4 linked regions of the Drosophila melanogaster genome follow. The protein of the gene in region 2 interacts with the protein of the main gene of each other region in a pairwise test. Each region holds a gene or a part of one and is shown on either strand. Other genes may lie near its edges.

Region 1 (4,981 bases), on a different chromosome or scaffold from region 2:
GCTGGCCTGCCAATGCTCGGCACTTTGCATATAAACGCTCGCTAATGGACACCAAAGGTGACAGCAGAGCGCTGCTAAATTGGCAAACATTAAATTTGCACCTTCACAGCAAGCGAGCCATCGACCGCGAAACCGTGACAATTTTCGGCACAGCGGTGCACTTTTTCAGAAAGCAGGAAAATCATCGAGGAGATCTTCCATCTCTGGGTCCCAAAGACTCAGAACCGCAGTTCGTGGTGGAGCTGGAGTGGTAAGCCAGATTGCACTCAGCTAGAAAGAAGATCTCTGAATGGAGGAGTTTTGGGGAAATGGATTCATAAGCATCGTGTTAGCCGAAAAATGAGTATAATTACATCAAATAGGTGCATTTACCTTCGACATTGGGAACAACCTATATTACTGCTGCACTGCTTTCATAAATAAGCACTCATAAAACTAAATATTTATGCACTTAATATGCATAGAAGTGCTGTAAATTGCAATACATCTCGCCGTACCTGAACTTCGTAGATAAAGAACCAAAAAGTCAAAAATCATTTCGATCCTTATTGAGAAACCCGATTGAAATCCAATTGAGCGGCACGCTCGAGCTATAAACTTGCAGATCCCTATCCGCAGGCGGCATCTCAATCTTTTTGGCTTTATCACGACGACAACGACCAAGGCCACTGATCCACGTAACCGGGCGCATATTTGAGAGTCTTGTTCTTGGGGCATCTTTAGGACCCCTTTAAGTCAGCGCATAGAAGTAGTAGATGTCATGGAGGAGTACATAATTCCCATGCTTCGAGCTAATTACAAGTCCTCAAGCCGAGCCCAAATTTAAGGTGAATGCAATGCTTAGGTCCGATGGCCAGTTCGATTTGTGGGAAAACAATGAGTAGACGAGAGTTGTGCCAAAGACATTCTAGTGTCTTTGGTTGTGCCAATTCGAAATATTTGACTCTGCAGGTTCCTTTCAAATTTAAAAACAGAATCCCCATTGTTCATTTCTGAGTGTATATCGAACCGAACAGATCAGACCAGATATAGGAACGATCTTGGCTGTCAGACTTATCGATTAAGCCAAGATTAATGTTACACATTGGGCAGAAACAGACAATTAATTAGAAACCTAAACTGCTACAGAAACTACAACTGTATATTGATCGCAAGCCAAGTGGAGGAGATTGTTCGGATCTAATCTATGGAGATCTGCAGATGAACTCGATGGGGACAAGTTCAGAGCGGCTTAGACAATAAGAACCAGATCAGTTGGTCGCTGCCACATTCTCAACAAGCTCATCAACTCGCTGTTGACAGAGCTGAAAAAAAGTGGGCAGAACGTTGGACTTCTCTCAATAGGAATAATAAACAAGGTCCCAAAAAAATGTGTCCTTTAAAGCAAACAAAATGATGGACAATGCCAAATCTGATAAAGGCAACAGAGGGAGAAAAGGTGTTCAAACAAGCAAACCACGATTGTCTCAAATATTTTGAAGCCGCTACAAAATAGAACAAGAATCAAGAACACAGCCCACTGAACCGAACCCCGGAGCATTGACACAATCTGCAATCCAAATCCAAGTCCAAGCCCTAACCCAAACCCAAACCCAAGCCCAAACCCTTCCTACACCCGAATCGCCTTCCATCTCGCGCACAATTGCCGGTAATATGCTTTATTATTAGCCCTGCCAACCACTGGAGACGGACATTCGCAGTATGCAAATCCACTCAGCAGTCACACGCTCTAGTTTGAATTGTCTGCTTCCGCAATTCTTGATCTGCGATCCTCCATCCTCCATCCTCCATCCTCCATCCTCCATCCTCCATCCTCCATCCTCCATCCTCCATCCTTGATCCTTCTTCCTTCGCGATCGAGGATCCACGATCCAGTCGCTTCAGGCTGCCCCTGGCCCTTTTCTGCTTGATTGCCGACAGCAGTTGGACAATTAAATGTTTGAATATCTCCCATCTTTGTCCATTCGCAGCCCCTATTGTAGAAATTTCTTGACACTTATCGCACAAAAGGCAATAACATTATTAATGAGCATGTCAATGAGCTTCTTTTGTCTTCACCATTACACTTTTTCTGGTTCTCCTTGGTCCTCCTTAGTGGTGTGAGTACGAACTCATGGGAGTTAAGCTTGGTCCTTGATAGCTGGGGATAGTTGGGCCATTTCTTCGCAACAGATTTGTCTTTTTATTGTTGGTTTTTTGTTTTGATTTTAATAGTTTGTACTAAGTATTTCAATTATTGCTAAAAATATTATTAAATTGTATAATTTCAGTCTTTAATTGGTTTGGTTTTTATAATGCAATTGTTTTCGGTATTAATCTTTTATTTGCGATTTATTTTGACTTACAACAACCATCCGACAAATTTATGGAAATTATGCAAAATGGTTTTTATTCAATTAAGCCTTTAATATATATATTGCTTGTATTTATCTATTGTTTTAGCGTTTGAATTATGTGTCCAGCATCTCAACTTGTTGTTGTCTCATTAATTCAATGAATAAATGTTTTATTTATTCTCTTAATATGTTTTGTTTGTCAGCAGGGAGACTTAGCCATTTTTTAATAGCATAAGCTCATATACAACAAAATCTTACCTTTTCCAGATCATATATTTCCACAACAGCATAAATTCGATGTTTTTACCAACTCACTATTTATTTATTTTTTCCTCTTTAGATGTTAATTTTTCCAGTTTTTTTTTTAACTTCACACACTGGGATACGTTTGAATGAAAATCAACTGATTATATCAAACACACTCTTCACATGACACCTTAAATCCGAATTATCGCTGATGATATAGCGACGGCTTTCGAAGGAGATTTCAGCAATCACGTGGCGCACATAGTGCCGAAAAACTTCGCGATCGGTCGGATATAATGCGATTGCGAGAGCGAGAGAACAGCGAAAGCCTGACTGACGGTGCTTGGCAGCGTAGCGTCCATCCGAGACTAAATCGTCGCCGTCGTTCTGAGCGCCAAACAGACTCGAACTGGCAGCGCGGCCCTGGCCTCAAAGATCATCTTACCCCAGCAGCAGCAGCATCTGCAGCGCGGCAGCACGAACAGCAGCACTAACAGCAACAGCAGCGGCAACAAGACAACAAAGCGCACGCGTCGCTAGATTGTGTGCGTGCGTTTGCAACAGTGGCAGGGCACGGCGAAACTTAACTGTTAATCGGCGGCCGTCGCTGCAGGAAATCCTGTTTGGCAAACAGCTGCTGTGGCGAATGGTGCGCGTGCTCCGTTCTGCCGGTTTAACAGCAATGTTATGGCGGTAAGATCTGTTGACTGAACTGTTAACGAAACAAGATTTGTTATTTTCGGGAGAATTTTAAAACAATTATATTAAATATATATTATTAAATAATATATTAAAGATATTATTGACAAGTTAGTACCCTGAAAAAATGCAGTTTTTTGTTTCTACAACGCTAACTGAAATAAGTCAAAACGCATTTATGTATATTAAGAGTGCTAACATTTTTCTCCAAGTGCACCCTGCTACCGACCTCGCTTCGAACATGTTTGCTGTACGTTTCCAGCTCGGTTCGCGACTCTCCGCTCTCCGTAAATGTTAAAGCGTCGCATCTTCTGAGAGCTGAACTGTGGTTGGCTGTTGGCACCGGCACGATCTCCAAGCGTTTCGTTCGTTTCCATTGAATACTGTGTCGATGCGGTTGGCTGTTGGCTGATGTCTTTTTACCCCCGTTTGACTCTACACACGGTACTGTTATCATTTGAGTGTATTGGCCGCGAGAGTGTTGGCCCTGGTTTGCTTCGTTGTGCATGTGCATCCAATTGAACTCGTATTGGACGACTAATGTGGCAAGGAGGTGGGCACTTAATGCCCGGCGATCAGTGTAAACAAACATTGGGAGAAACCAAGAAAACATCAGAGGTTATTTGTGGCTTGACCTGCAAAATGGAGAAAACAAGTTCGCCTCCCTAGTCTTTCGTATATTTAAATATTTTTATGTGAATCTTTGTCGGATTGATAACGATTGGAGATGACCACATGGAAAACATATGCATAGATGTTGGTTTATTCTATCTGGGGGCACTGCAGAATTCTTTTAGGTTGAATACAAAATTCTGCCACTAATGGTATATATAAAGCTATATTCTTGTGAGCGTAAATAAAATAAAAGTTGCATGAGATTGTTTAACAAGGAATCAATTTTATTAGGGCTAAATGGTATCCATTTAAATACATTCGATACGGTACTTCAACAACAATTGCAAAATAATCAATGCTAGTTCTGTGCTGCTTAAATCGGATTGCCACCAGGCGCAAAATTGCCAGTGGAACAATCAACGCGTTTCCATATGTCTAATTGAATTCTCCTGTCATAAGCATGATCAGATGACTGCCTTCGTGCGCCGAGATGCCCACTAAAGTGATCCCCGGGCATTTGACCAGTCGTTGTCTGTCCCTCCATCTCAACTCATCTCAGCTCAGACTTAGACTCAGGCTCAGGCTCAGGCTCAGACTCCCGGCTTCTGTCACTTGGTGATGATGATGATTTCATTTTAATAACACCACTGGACGGAAGAAGAGTGCCACGGCGGAGATCGTTTAATACTCTGCATTCGCCGCGGCCGTGTCAACACCACTTGACGGAGTAACAAGGAAGCGCAACACTCTAAAACGACGTGTAATTTATCACAGCCAAAAGCATTTAGCCATGAACTGGAACGGAGACTCCGATTGCGACTGCAACTGAATCTGGCTAGTTTCTTGGAGTAGTTTCCTCTGGCTCTGCCTGTCAGTATAGTTGTCGTCATAATCTGCCAAGTGGCGATGCAGCTCCTGGAGCTGCTGCGGTGCAATTTGGTCGTCATATTAAAATTTCTTCAGCTCGTGGGCAATCTGAAATTTTCCCTCCGCTCTCTCCAAATTTTTAATTAAGTTTGGGCCTTGGCAACGGGCGCATGCGTATCTCGCCTGCTTGCGTGCTCATCTCTCAACTCGGTGATGAG
Region 2 (4,558 bases):
CACAAGGAGCTCGCCAAGGTGTTAAGCCAGCTGAGCCGGGTGCCCCCAGCATCGAATCCTTACCTCTGTCGGGCCTTTCGCCGCTCCATTCCCCTCAAGCCTCTGGCTTAATTCCAGCCAGCTTTTCTGGCCAAACCGGACGAGTCTTAATCAAGCGAGATGCCCTCATGTGATCTGGATCTCGCCGTGTAATGAGAATAGCATATCTATTGTAGTACTTTAGAACTAACTGACAATTTCATTAAATTTCACCATATTTATCATCTCTGCTGTGAGCTTTTCACTTAATGGAGCGTAGGAGTTGTTCGTTGAGGATGCTTAGGATCAGGAGCTACAGAAATCCTCGTTAATAGGAGTAAATGGAAATTACAGCCAACCAGTGGGCAGGTCAGGGAGGAGCGTGGAGCGGTCTTTGGTAATTGTTAAAAAGCAAAGCAAATGTTATTGCCGAACAAACAGCACTGGAAGCCGAAATCCATTCAAATCGCACAACTAGCTTGCCTCTAATCCGAGCCACAAATAAGGCGTGTGCAGAGGGTAGGGGACGTGGCAGGGGCGTAGGGGGGGGGGGTTCCTTTGTTTGGCACACACATGCGGAATCCATAGAAGCTATGGCTGAGCCTGGCCAGAAAAGGTACCCGTGCTCGTAGTCAAGGACCCGTTCCGTTCCGTTTCGTTTCGATTCGATTCGAATGTTTCGAAATTCACAAATGTACACTACGAAAAATATTCTTTTTCAACAATTCTCGTTGTTTTCAAATGTTATAAACTTACAGGTTCTCTTTATGTAAACCACTTTGCTATTTATCAAGACACATTTCCAGGACTAAAGTAATACAACTTCAGATAAACTAGTATTTAGTACTAAAATTTTTGTAAGTTAACCATCCAAATATTTGTAGTCAAGTGTGGCGACCTTGTTGGGTCTTGAACTTAGACATTAACATTGACTAGAAAACAAGAATATAACTAGAGCAGGTTTCGCACTTCAGTTTACCGCTGAGAAACTGAGAATTCGCCTAAGTTGGATTCACATGACATCGCCAGTGATGACACCACCGCCCACTGGGCCGCCCTCATGCTGGTGATGATGCAGTTGCTCCACGAGATCAGCGATTCCTTCCACGCCTATGCTCAAAGAGGGCAGCGACTTGTCCAGCACCAAAAGAGAGGGAGGCGACTTGGGCTCACCCTCTTCCATGCCAAAGGAGGACATGCCAATCCCGTCCAGGCACAGTTCATTGGATGATCCGACCAGCTGGGAGTGACCGCCGTAGGCCTGCATCTGGGACTGCTCCATGCTCAGAATGCAGTCCGCCTTGAAGCTGTCGATCGTGAACTGGTCCACGTCCACGCTGAGAAACTTCATCTCGTCGTAGGCGGAGGAGCCATCGGTCATGTCCAAACTCAATGAGGCGGCAAACTCAAGCCCCGGATGAAGCTGGGGATTGTGCTGCTCCTGCTGGTGCTGCTGCTGCTGCTGCTGGTGATGACTCGAACTCCCGGCGTGAATCGGATCGGATGCATGCTGTTGAGGCGGGTGCTGCTGGAGCTGATTGTCGGAGTCCATCTGCGGGTGTGTCTGCGCTTGCGTTTGCGGAGGATATGTGGACCACTCCATGGAGAGGCCACTGCCACCCCGCTCCAGTCCCAAGTGGTCAATGTTGAGGTTGAGAAATATATTCGGTGACAGCCTAGAGGGCGACATGGCCCCCGTGCCGTAGGAGGCCTTAAGTTCGTTATCAAGGGAGTTCGAGGATTGCGGTGGGGTGTCCGGCAATAGAGTTCCACCGCCGCCTGAAATCAATATGGGTCATTACTAGCGATGGGTTGATAGGTAACAGAGATATCCTTTCTTACCCAGCGCACTATCCAGTTGGCCCAGGACGGCGCTGTCGTCGTAGGACACGTCGAGATCCAACGCACCCTCCTTATAATCTCCGCCAAGCCCACCGATCTTCTCCTGCTTGCGCCACTTGGCCCGCCGGTTCTGGAACCACACCTGCACCCTCGCCTCCGTCAAATCGATCCTCACGGCCAGCTCCTCTCGGAAAAACACGTCCGGATAGTGTGTCCGCTGGAACGCCCTTTCCAGCTCCTGCAGTTGCAGTGTGTTAAATGTGGTTCTGCGGATCATTAGGAAAACTAGTGTTAGTGCACCTATAGCTTTAGTAGATACTTATGAAACTAGTCCAGTTTTTGGATTTATACCGCGATATATGTACATTTCGAATGTATCTGCTATACCTGTATCTCCGCTGCTTGCGCTTCATTGTGCCTTTGTCCATGCGAATCCTGAGCTTCCTGTTGGTGAACGTTGACGTTGGCGGAGTGGGTGGCGAGTAGTGGCCACTGAGGTGTGGATCCCGCTCAATCTCAATATCTCCCTCAGCGAGGATGGGGCTCTTCAAGCGCGTCGTGACATAGTCGCCGTGTGTTTTTCTATTTTTTAACGATTTTCGTCGACACTTCGAGGGCTTCGCGTCGCTGCTTCTTCTCGCTTTTCCGCTTCGACAAATTCCACGGCGGAAAAACTGCACAACAACAACGGCGAAAGCACGGATGAAGTCTTTGGAGACAGGCAGCTGCGGAGCTCAGCATAAGTCGCCCACCAGCGGAATCTGCATCTCCTCCGCTCCTGGTTTTTTATTCTGATTCCGATTCCAAGTCCCGACTTCCCTTGCTCGAACCTATGTAGCTGCTGATGGCTAAGCGATGTCAGATTGTCCAGCTGTGCATGTCCAACCTTGTGGCACGGGCACTGTTCTTGCCTCGACGACGCGAATTCGACTGAGGAGGATTTTGGATTTCCACGGGGAACAGTGACAGTGCGTGCTGTCCGTCGACAGAAGCCGTAGAAGTCGACCACAGTCCACTGGCACTCGCACACTCGCGGGCTCCCTACGAACAGGGGTATATACTATGTGCCTAAGAGGTCTGACCCGGTCTAGCCTCTTGGACAGTCGTTCTAGCCGGGCTTGTTATGCCAGTGGCGGTGCTCCTCACCCAAACTGGCCCAAGTGGGAGACATAGTGAGCTCATAATTTATGGCAACTCATGGTGCCTTCGGAGGATGTGCATAGCTGGAAAATGTTTAAGAATTCTACATAAGACTATAAACCACTATTTTTACCATTCATCTGCCTTTGCACATTATAAAAACAATATTCTTTAAACAAGACCATGAAACGGAAATGTCATCCATTTGGGGGAAATCCGACAAGTAAAATACAATCGGAATTGCATTTCCCACAGCTCCTCACTCAAAAGTATGCTATGGAAAAAGTTTCGGAGCCGTTTCGGAAACCAAAAATCCAGAAACCCACCCTGGTCAACGTTATCGATGGGAGGAGATCGGATTGCCCTTTGCCTCTGCACACATGTCTGGGTCAGTGGGCTTCTTTTGGCTACTCCCACCGCCCAAAGTTCTCCACCTCTGCCGGCACTTGAGGCCTTAAAGCCATTTCCCCCATTGAAGCATTGAAAGCAGCAGAGGAGTATAAATAGCCGAGGGACTCAACCCCATCAGCCGGGCCACTTGAGCTTGGCATGGCTTGCCATTGTTGTGGTGTCAACTGTGGAGTCCATTGTTCCATCCTGTCCAGGTGACGAACCGTAATGGATGCTGCTGCTCTCATCTCTGGCACAAAAGGTAATCCGAGAGGCGGCTTTTGTCCTAAATGGATATAAAAGTATGGCGACTCCTTGGCCAGAGCTGCAGAAGGAGTACAGCGCTGGTCAGGCACAGATCGAGCATGATGCCGTGGGTAAGTTTCATCTGGATGAGAGCCGAAAGATATAGAAACGAAATTACAAAGGAGGGCGCACAAGGATATACTCCGAACTGAATTCATTTTAAAACCCTTCCGTTCCAAGTTGCCCATTTCCATTATGGCAATGGCGCTGCTTAGCCTGACAAATAAAGGAATCGCCAGTCAGTACGCCAGCGATGAAGGTTTGGACGAGATGGTGGGTCTAAGGAGTCTGGAACACCGCGCGGAGGAGCAGCAGCCCGATCGCAGTACATCGAAAATGCTCAGTGCCCTATTCGGATTCAGTCCCAGCACTCCACATCCCACAGAGATGGCGATGGTCATGCCCCATCAGCTGCCGCCCATGTACTATAACGATTTCTATGAGGATCTGGTGACCACCAAACGCAATGATGTCCATTCCGCAGGCTGCGACTGCAAAGTTACGGTTCGTTGGGATACCATTCAGCCGCGTCAGATGTTTATAATTATTTTGTTATTCCCAGAATGAGCTCGTGGATCTGGGTGGTCTGCACTTCCCTCGCTTTCTGATGAATGCCGTTTGCGAATCGGGCGCTGGTCGGGATCTGGCCAAGTGCTCGCATGGATCCAATTGCAGGCCACTGGAATATAAGGTAAAGGTCCTGGCACAGACCTCTCAGTCCGATCACCCCTATTCGTGGATGAACAAGGATCAACCTTGGCAGTTCAAAACGGTCACCGTAACTGCCGGCTGCTTCTGCACAAAGTGATTGAAAGGATGTGAGCAACTATCGTGAATGTGAATTAATTGTATATTAAAGCGC
Region 3 (3,810 bases), on a different chromosome or scaffold from region 2:
TGTAAGCGACTGAGTTAATTAGCAGCTGGGGAATTGTGAAATGTATTAATATTGTACATTTCGGTGGGTCCAAATAACGAATAGCCGACCAAAAGCCTTGCCAATAAACCACAACAAGCCGTGTCGCAACATTCCATTTCCCACTTCGACGGTCCTTTTGTGGTCACAATGTCGCAATGTTGCTATGGTATGGTGAAGTAGCGGTTCTTTAACTTATTAGAGCATAGATTTCTGATCATAAATATTTGGCATTCTTATGGGCATATCAATAAAAAAGATGTTACAATACTACCCCTAAAGATATGCTATATATATTGTCATTGTCATGTTACGATTTAAACGATAGTATCGATAAGCCGAAGAAAGATCACTCATAGATGGCGTGTTTGAATTTGAAGACAATATCAACAGGTGTGAGATTAAATTTCTGATTGGAAAACATGTTTAGTAATTTGATAGCATAATACGTTTTTAAAGTGTAACTAGTCTTATTAACCAGCTTTTCCTGGCAACAAAATGTGATACAGCTGTTAGCAACCATATGTTAACGTTGATAAAAAAAAAAACTTTTTACGAATGGCTTGACAAGTAAATGCAATAATCTGGTCCTACTCTTGCAATATATATATATATATATATATAGGGAATCCATTTTTCTAATATGGAACAACCAGGCAAGTATAATCTATACAAGCTGCGTGTTAGATGCCTTAGATCTACGAAAGTTATATTGCATATATGCATTTCACGATTATTTAAGGCCCCCGGTGACCTCGATGGCAGCCCCATTGACGTATGACGATTGCGGGGAGGCCAAAAAGGCAATGACCTCGGCGATCTCCTCCGGCTGACCCAATCGGCCCAAGGGGCATCGTTGTACCACCTCCTGCTTTACAGAATCGGGCACAACCGCTACCATGGGCGTGTCTATGTAGCCTGGCAGGATGCAGTTCACACGGATGCCAAACTTTCCGAACTCCTTGGAGGCCACCTCCGTGAAGGAGATCACGCCCGCCTTGGTGGCCGCATAGTTGGCCTGGCCCACGTTGTTCATCTTGGCCACGATGCTTGAGAGGTTCACAATGGTGCCGTTTTCCAGTTTCTGCTCGATCATGGCCTTGGCATAGGCCTGGGTAACCAGAAAGGTGCCCTTCAGATTGACCCCGTATACGTCATCGTAGTCCCGTTCGGGCATCTTGAGCAGATAACCATCTCGGGTTATTCCAGCCGAATTGACCACAATAGTGGGTGCCTGCTGGAATTTCTTTAGGGCCTCGGCCACCGAGAATTGAACACTCTGGGCAGAGGAAACGTCCACCTCCAGGGCGGCAGATCGCTCAGAGCCCAATTCCTGTACGGTTTCTTGGGCCGCCTTTAGATTGCGGTCAACGGCGATCACTTTGGCACCATCTCTGGCCAAAAGGCGGCAGGTGGCACGACCAATTCCTGATCCGGCACCTAAAAACTCCAGTTTAGAAGAGTCCCATATAAAGAGCAGATATCAAGAGAAAACAAACGAATACACACCTGTTACCAGGGCTACTTTTCCAGCTAGTACTCCCACTGACATGGCTCTAAAAATGACTTAGTAAACAGCAGTTTTCACTTGTTTTCTCCTCAACGGTCGTGCGACAACTATATAATCACTAAAATATATCGCCGGCCAACAGCTGTTCCAAAGCTGATTGGCTATGAACAAATGAAACATAAGTGAAGTGGTGGAAAGCTTTTTACCACACGATCGTTGTCAGAGCTTTTCGGTGGAACCATATGTTTATCAAGAAAAAAATGTAAGAGTCCAAAGATCACAAAAGCGCTTAAAAAAAAAATTGTGCTTTGTATATGAATTTTATGTTTGTTTGCCGAAACATAGTTTTAGGCTCGTTTAAAAAATACGTCTACGTCTCTGATGGCAACTAAATGGAAATTCATTTAATTTGTCATGTTTAAAAATATTAATATTTTCCATTCATTTTTGCTTTAAGGAAGGCTATTTGATAGCCAACAGTATTGAGTACGAGCAATACTCAATACTCAGCAATTGTTTTTAGCCCAGCGCCCAAAAGAGTGTACGTAAAAGTGTTGTATTTTCAAAATGTTTGTATTTATTTCCGGTCAATAATTTCACTGCAGTGGTATTAGGTAGTACTCCTCCAGCTGGGGAGTCAAGTTCGCACTCCGGACACCGCTATATCCAGCACTCCGGGCCAATCCAAATTGCCTTAGGAGCTTCTTGAGATATCTCTTGGGTATTTTTATCAGCTGTCTTCGGATTATCCGCTGCACCCTGTTCCATGGACGACTTCCGCCGCGGTGATCGTCCTCGGCATCCTCCAGCTGCTGATCCTGTTCTGGGTCATCCTCTTCCTCCACCAGATCACCGCCATATTCGTCCTTCTGCGTTTTGAATTTTGCCAACTGCTCAGCCAGCTGTTTTAGCTGCTTCTCGCTCAAACGACTGAGGTCAACGGGATCATTTTGAGCCCGCAACTGGAGTCTCGATCCACAGGCTTTGGCAGAAGCCTCCGGAATTGATGGTAACAAGATTGAAACCACGATCAGTACGATCATAAATCGCTGTCCAGCCATGTTTGTACTGAGCCCCGGGCTAAACAGCCGCTTAAATACCCGAAAATTGCCCCATCATTCGTCACGATCTGATCTCTTTGGTGATTTCGTCCCAAAAATGTGGGTCAAGTGCGTACTTTTCACAGACTTTTGTTTTTTCTTTGATTCTATGCCCATAAAGGAGATTGTACCAACTATTGTTTTTGCCTTTCTTTGCTTCTGAAGATCAACGATCATTGATCTTTGGTGCTTCATCGCTGTAACCTCCGATCTTTAGAGGGATGTTTTTTGAAAAATTGTATAAGCAATTAATATGAAGATGTAAATGAGCCTAAAGTAAATTGTGGGTAAGGTATGTACTCAGTTTCTTCAGTTTAATTCCTACCTTACTTGCTATTCGCAACTATATTTTAGCCCGTTCTTATTCTCTTATAATCTTATTATTTTGTTATACAATTTACTATTTTTATTATTAGTATTATTACCGCGCAAAGATAAAGTAAGAATGCAGTTTTGTTATTCTTGAAGGGCTTTATTTATCGTTTATCCTGCCGCAGGAAGTGTGGCAGTAGCAAGTTAGGCTACAATAAATTAGAAAAAAAAATTATCTTGCCGGAATGTGTCGGATCGTTGGATCCTGACCTTGAATCCTAGATCCTTAGACGGCGGTGATGCGATTGCGACGGTTCTTGTTGCGATTGCGACGATTCTTCTTGTTGCCGTTGCGCCTCCGGTTGTTCTTGTTGATTTTCTTGGCAGGCACTCGCTTGCGAACCACGCGACGCTTGGAGACGGGACGACTACCGGTATTGAGCATCACCTTCTGGCCGTTCTTGAAGTAGCGGCGGTAGCGGGGTGGGATGCGAACGCTGATCACCTGGCCGCGGCGGGCGCCTTTGCGTCGCAGACTGATATGGTTATTGCTTTGGGTGGCCTTGCCGCCTTCGACGGTGGCTCCGCCAGTTCCCTGGACCTCGTGCTCAGTGGTGACCACCTCGTATTCCTGGGCGCCAGCGGCCAGGGCGGCCTGCAGAGCCTGCTCGTCCATCAACTCGGCGGGGTAGGCCTGTGCGGGTTGGGCCAGCTCCTGGTCCTGTTCTTGGTCCTGATCCTGATCCTGTTCCTGATTCTGCTCCTGGTCGTCATCGTTGCTGCCATATCGGGCACCCTTGATAATCGTTTGCCGTGCGCTCGATGTCGTCGAGGTGGGTGTTGTGGGCGAAGTGGTAATGGTGCCAGTGG
Region 4 (3,523 bases), on a different chromosome or scaffold from region 2:
TCCCCGTCCTCATCCGGTTGATAGTCTTGCGGATTTTCCACGCCCAACAGAGCCTCCAGAGCGCACCCCTCGTTGACGGATGCGGAGGAACTGTCATGATCCGGCTGCCACATCGTATCGATGGTCTCCTCGTCCACGGACTGTTTACCCCCGAGCACCATGATGCGTAGTGGATTGCCCTCGTCCTGTTCCAGTCCCAGCTCCTGTTCCGCGTCCTCCTCCTCCGACAGAACATCCTCGTTGGGCAGGTACTCTTTCTTGAAGCTGTCCACAGCCAATGGTTCTGCGCTGACCCCTTGGAACTCCTGTTCCTCTCGTGCTAGTCTGCCCAGTCCCGTGACCGTCTTGGTGAGCGGTCGGCCCTGCTTGTCGAAGTGCACATTACGGATATGGCGGGCGAAGTCCTCGAATCCAAAGTGCTTCATGTCGCAGAGCAGGCAGACCAGTTGGAATCTATTCGCCTCCGGTTCGTAGAAGATCTCGCCGCATTTGGGACGCAACTGCTGCTGGGCGTGCAGGCGGACGTAGTCGACGTTGGCGAGGCAGTGTCTCAACATTTTCTGATTCTTATTTACATTAAAATTGTTGCAATATTATTTACCAAAATTAAAATAAAATATGTAAACAAAATTTCGATCGACTTCGATAGACATTTAGTGCAGACTCAAACCAGCACTGATTTCACAGCCATTCAGCTATGTTTCAAACCAAACTAACCGTTTGACCGAATAAACTACAAAATAAATTTTAAGTTCAAAATTAATTATATTTGATCTATGTATATTAAATAGCTAAGCAATATGCTCCTCTCAAGTGTTACCAATTTGTTACCAGACTCTTAGAAAGTGATACTGCCTGTTTTATTTATAAGGCACTTCAGTTGAAATAACGAATCGGTTACCCGGTTTTTTTAAATTTGAATATGACACAAAAATAAAATGTTAATTACTCCACTGAATTTTATGCAGTGTTAAACTCGCGCCGATGAAAAACACTTGAAACCACTCTTTTGATCTGCAGATCCTTCAGATCCGTGGTTTCGGTGGCTCGCTGGTTCCTCTGGCGGTGAATCCGCTTGTGTTGGGCGTAGCCCGCCGCCTGAGCGAACGACTTGTCGCACTGGGAGCACTTGAAGCGCTTCCCATCCTCGTGGAGCGTCCGGTGATGGTACAGGGCCCGCGAACTGGAGAAACCCACGTTGCAGTCGGTGCAAATGTGCCGCTGGCGTCGCTCGCCGGCGTCCAAGTGCCGCTCCAAGTGGCTTTTCAGCTGATAGCTGGCCGGGAAACGCGCCTGGCATTGCTGGCAACTGAAGGGCATTTCGCCGGTGTGTCGCCGACGATGGATCTGCAGATTCCAATAGATGCGCGTCCGATAGCCGCAGAACTCGCACATAAGTCGCCGATTATCGGAGCTGGCAGCTGGACGTTCCGCCGACATGGTCGGTCCGCGTGTGCCAAATCTAATCGTCGGCACTATTGTTAGACGCACCCCATCCAATACCATCTTGGCATTTGGCCGCTTTAGCAGCAGTCGACCGATTAATTGCTGTCAAAGGTACCAAATCGCTTGGCTAATTTTAAACGCGGGCTCTCTTTTGCGAATCAAATTCATGTTATGTATATTTATCAATACAAAAAAGTTAACCATTCGAATACTAGCCACATCCGGTTGCCGAGATTACGGCGTTCGATTTGGTTCTTGGAAGCATTGTGTGCTTAATGTATAGTTTAAACCTTAACAAAGTTTAGTTATTATTTGAGTTGGTAGTTTAGAAAATTCATGGAAATGTAGTTTAGTCTTAGTACTTACAATCGAGCCAATTAAATTTGCCTCAAACTAAGTTCACTCGAAACAGATTAACAAACTTTCAGTTTATCTAAAACTAGGGATATTATTTACAGTGCGTGTCAAATAAATTCGATGGAAACCCGTGAAACGAGGACCGAAGAGTCACATGATACCCGCTCCATGCCGGAGCAATGCAAAAAACCATTGATTTCTATGGTAATCCTATATATAGCCTATGCCTGAGTTCCTGAACTTAAACGTCGGAATTGGAAGATACAAAACGTACAACTTAGACTACGACCTCGGTGATCCGGATCCTATCCGTTGAGCTCGTCGTTCCGGTGCTTGCGCATATGTCCAGCGAGACCGGCGGCCTGGGCATAGGCATTCCCGCACAGCTTGCACACGAACTGCTTGGTGTCCGCGTGCAGGAACTTGTGGTGGTAGAGGCCTTTCTGTCGGGAGAAGGTCGCACCGCAAACGCTGCACACATGCGGTCGCTCCGTGGAATGCATGGCCATGTGCTCTCGCAGGCCGGAATGGGAGGGGAATCTTTTGTCGCACACTTGACACCCGAACGGCCGTTCGCCCGTGTGGCTCCTGATGTGGACGCGCAGCGTCTCCTTGTTCCGGCAGCTGTAGCCGCAGCTCTCGCAGACGAAGTTCTTTTGCTCCGTGTGCACCTTGCCGTGATTGCGCATATGACGGATGGTGAAGAAGCGCTTGCCGCAGCCGGGATGCGGGCAGGGCACGTTCCGTTCGCTGGTGTGCTTGAGCTGGTGGCGTTTCAGTTCGTGTCGCGTCTTGTAGCGCCGCCCGCAAACCACACAGGCAGCGCCGCCATGCGCCTGCACCATGTGCTCGTCCAGCAGGCGCAGGCGCGGCAATTGGGCCTCGCATTCCAGGCAGGTGAAGATGGCGGAGCCTCCTTCCTCGCCGTTGTCATGATCCCGCTTTAAATGCTGACGCAGACTGTATTTGCCATGGTAGATCTTGCCGCAGTGCTCGCACTTGTACTCCTGGGCAGCGGACTTGACGGGCGCATCCTTGGGCGGCTCGTAGTCCGCGTCCTCGCTGTCCACATCCGGCGAGAGAGTGTCTTTGTGCTGGCGCATTATGTGGCGTTCGAGGACCTTGCGGCTCTGGTAAACTTTTGTGCAGTGCGGACACGAGTGCGGAATCTTGGCAGAGTGCCTGCCTTCGCTGTCCAGATCCAGCTCCATGCCGCACTCCTCCTGCTCGGAGTCTTCCTCCTTGTAGTCCACCTTGAGGGCTCGGACTTGACGTAGAGATTCGCTGGTCAGCGACTGATGGTCCTGCCACTTGATTATGCTTCTGCCTGGCCGCTCATCTTCGTCCTCATCCTGCTTTTCCAGGACAACGCGCTCATCGTCGCTGTCCTCGTTGTGATCGCCACCAATCTCGTACCAGGCAAATGGATTCACCTGCGCCACAATGGGCACCGGCGAGTTAGGCTCCCGCTCACGATCCCGCTCCTGCTTGAGATTCGCACCGGCGTCCGTTGCCTCCGTCTTCAGCAGGCCGTTCTCGAAGTGAATGTTCTGGACGTGGAGCAGGAAGTCTCCGAACACAAAGCTCTTCATCTCGCAGAACGCACAGTCGATGCGGAAGCTGTGCAGGCTCTGGAAGTAGATCTCGCCGCACTTGGCGTTCGCCATTCCGGCGTACGTGTCCGGCTTGAGGGACTTGAGCATGATTGCGGCTCCCACCT

The links.
Region 1: the proteins of Pph13 (region 2) and eg interact in a two-hybrid assay, tested with the Drosophila melanogaster proteins (one large-scale study listed by BioGRID).
Region 3: the proteins of Pph13 (region 2) and CG3603 interact in a two-hybrid assay, tested with the Drosophila melanogaster proteins (one large-scale study listed by BioGRID).
Region 4: the proteins of Pph13 (region 2) and CG15336 interact in a two-hybrid assay, tested with the Drosophila melanogaster proteins (one large-scale study listed by BioGRID).

What each region holds. Positions count from the first base shown.
Region 1 is NT_037436.4:21,806,851-21,811,831, reverse strand, and holds the start of eg (eagle), read right to left. Parts: upstream 3,130-4,981; 5' UTR 3,028-3,129; intron 2,994-3,027; exon of another isoform or gene 2,595-2,993; intron 1-2,594.
Region 2 is NT_033779.5:575,723-580,280, reverse strand, and holds Pph13 (PvuII-PstI homology 13), read right to left. Parts: upstream 2,796-4,558; 5' UTR 2,289-2,795; coding exon 2,248-2,288; intron 2,127-2,247; coding exon 1,861-2,126; intron 1,798-1,860; coding exon 1,031-1,797; 3' UTR 732-1,030; downstream 1-731. Other genes in the region: Ptth (prothoracicotropic hormone), read left to right, coding at 3,681-3,767, 3,877-4,200, 4,259-4,504.
Region 3 is NC_004354.4:2,945,866-2,949,675, reverse strand, and holds CG3603 (uncharacterized protein), read right to left. Parts: upstream 1,643-3,810; 5' UTR 1,571-1,642; coding exon 1,528-1,570; intron 1,459-1,527; coding exon 752-1,458; 3' UTR 556-751; downstream 1-555. Other genes in the region: CG17959 (uncharacterized protein), read right to left, coding at 2,125-2,571; CG14423 (uncharacterized protein), read right to left, coding at 3,227-3,810.
Region 4 is NC_004354.4:8,145,932-8,149,454, reverse strand, and holds CG15336 (uncharacterized protein), read right to left. Parts: upstream 1,507-3,523; 5' UTR 1,441-1,506; coding exon 961-1,440; 3' UTR 750-960; downstream 1-749. Other genes in the region: CG10959 (uncharacterized protein), read right to left, coding at 1-557; CG2129 (uncharacterized protein), read right to left, coding at 2,109-3,506.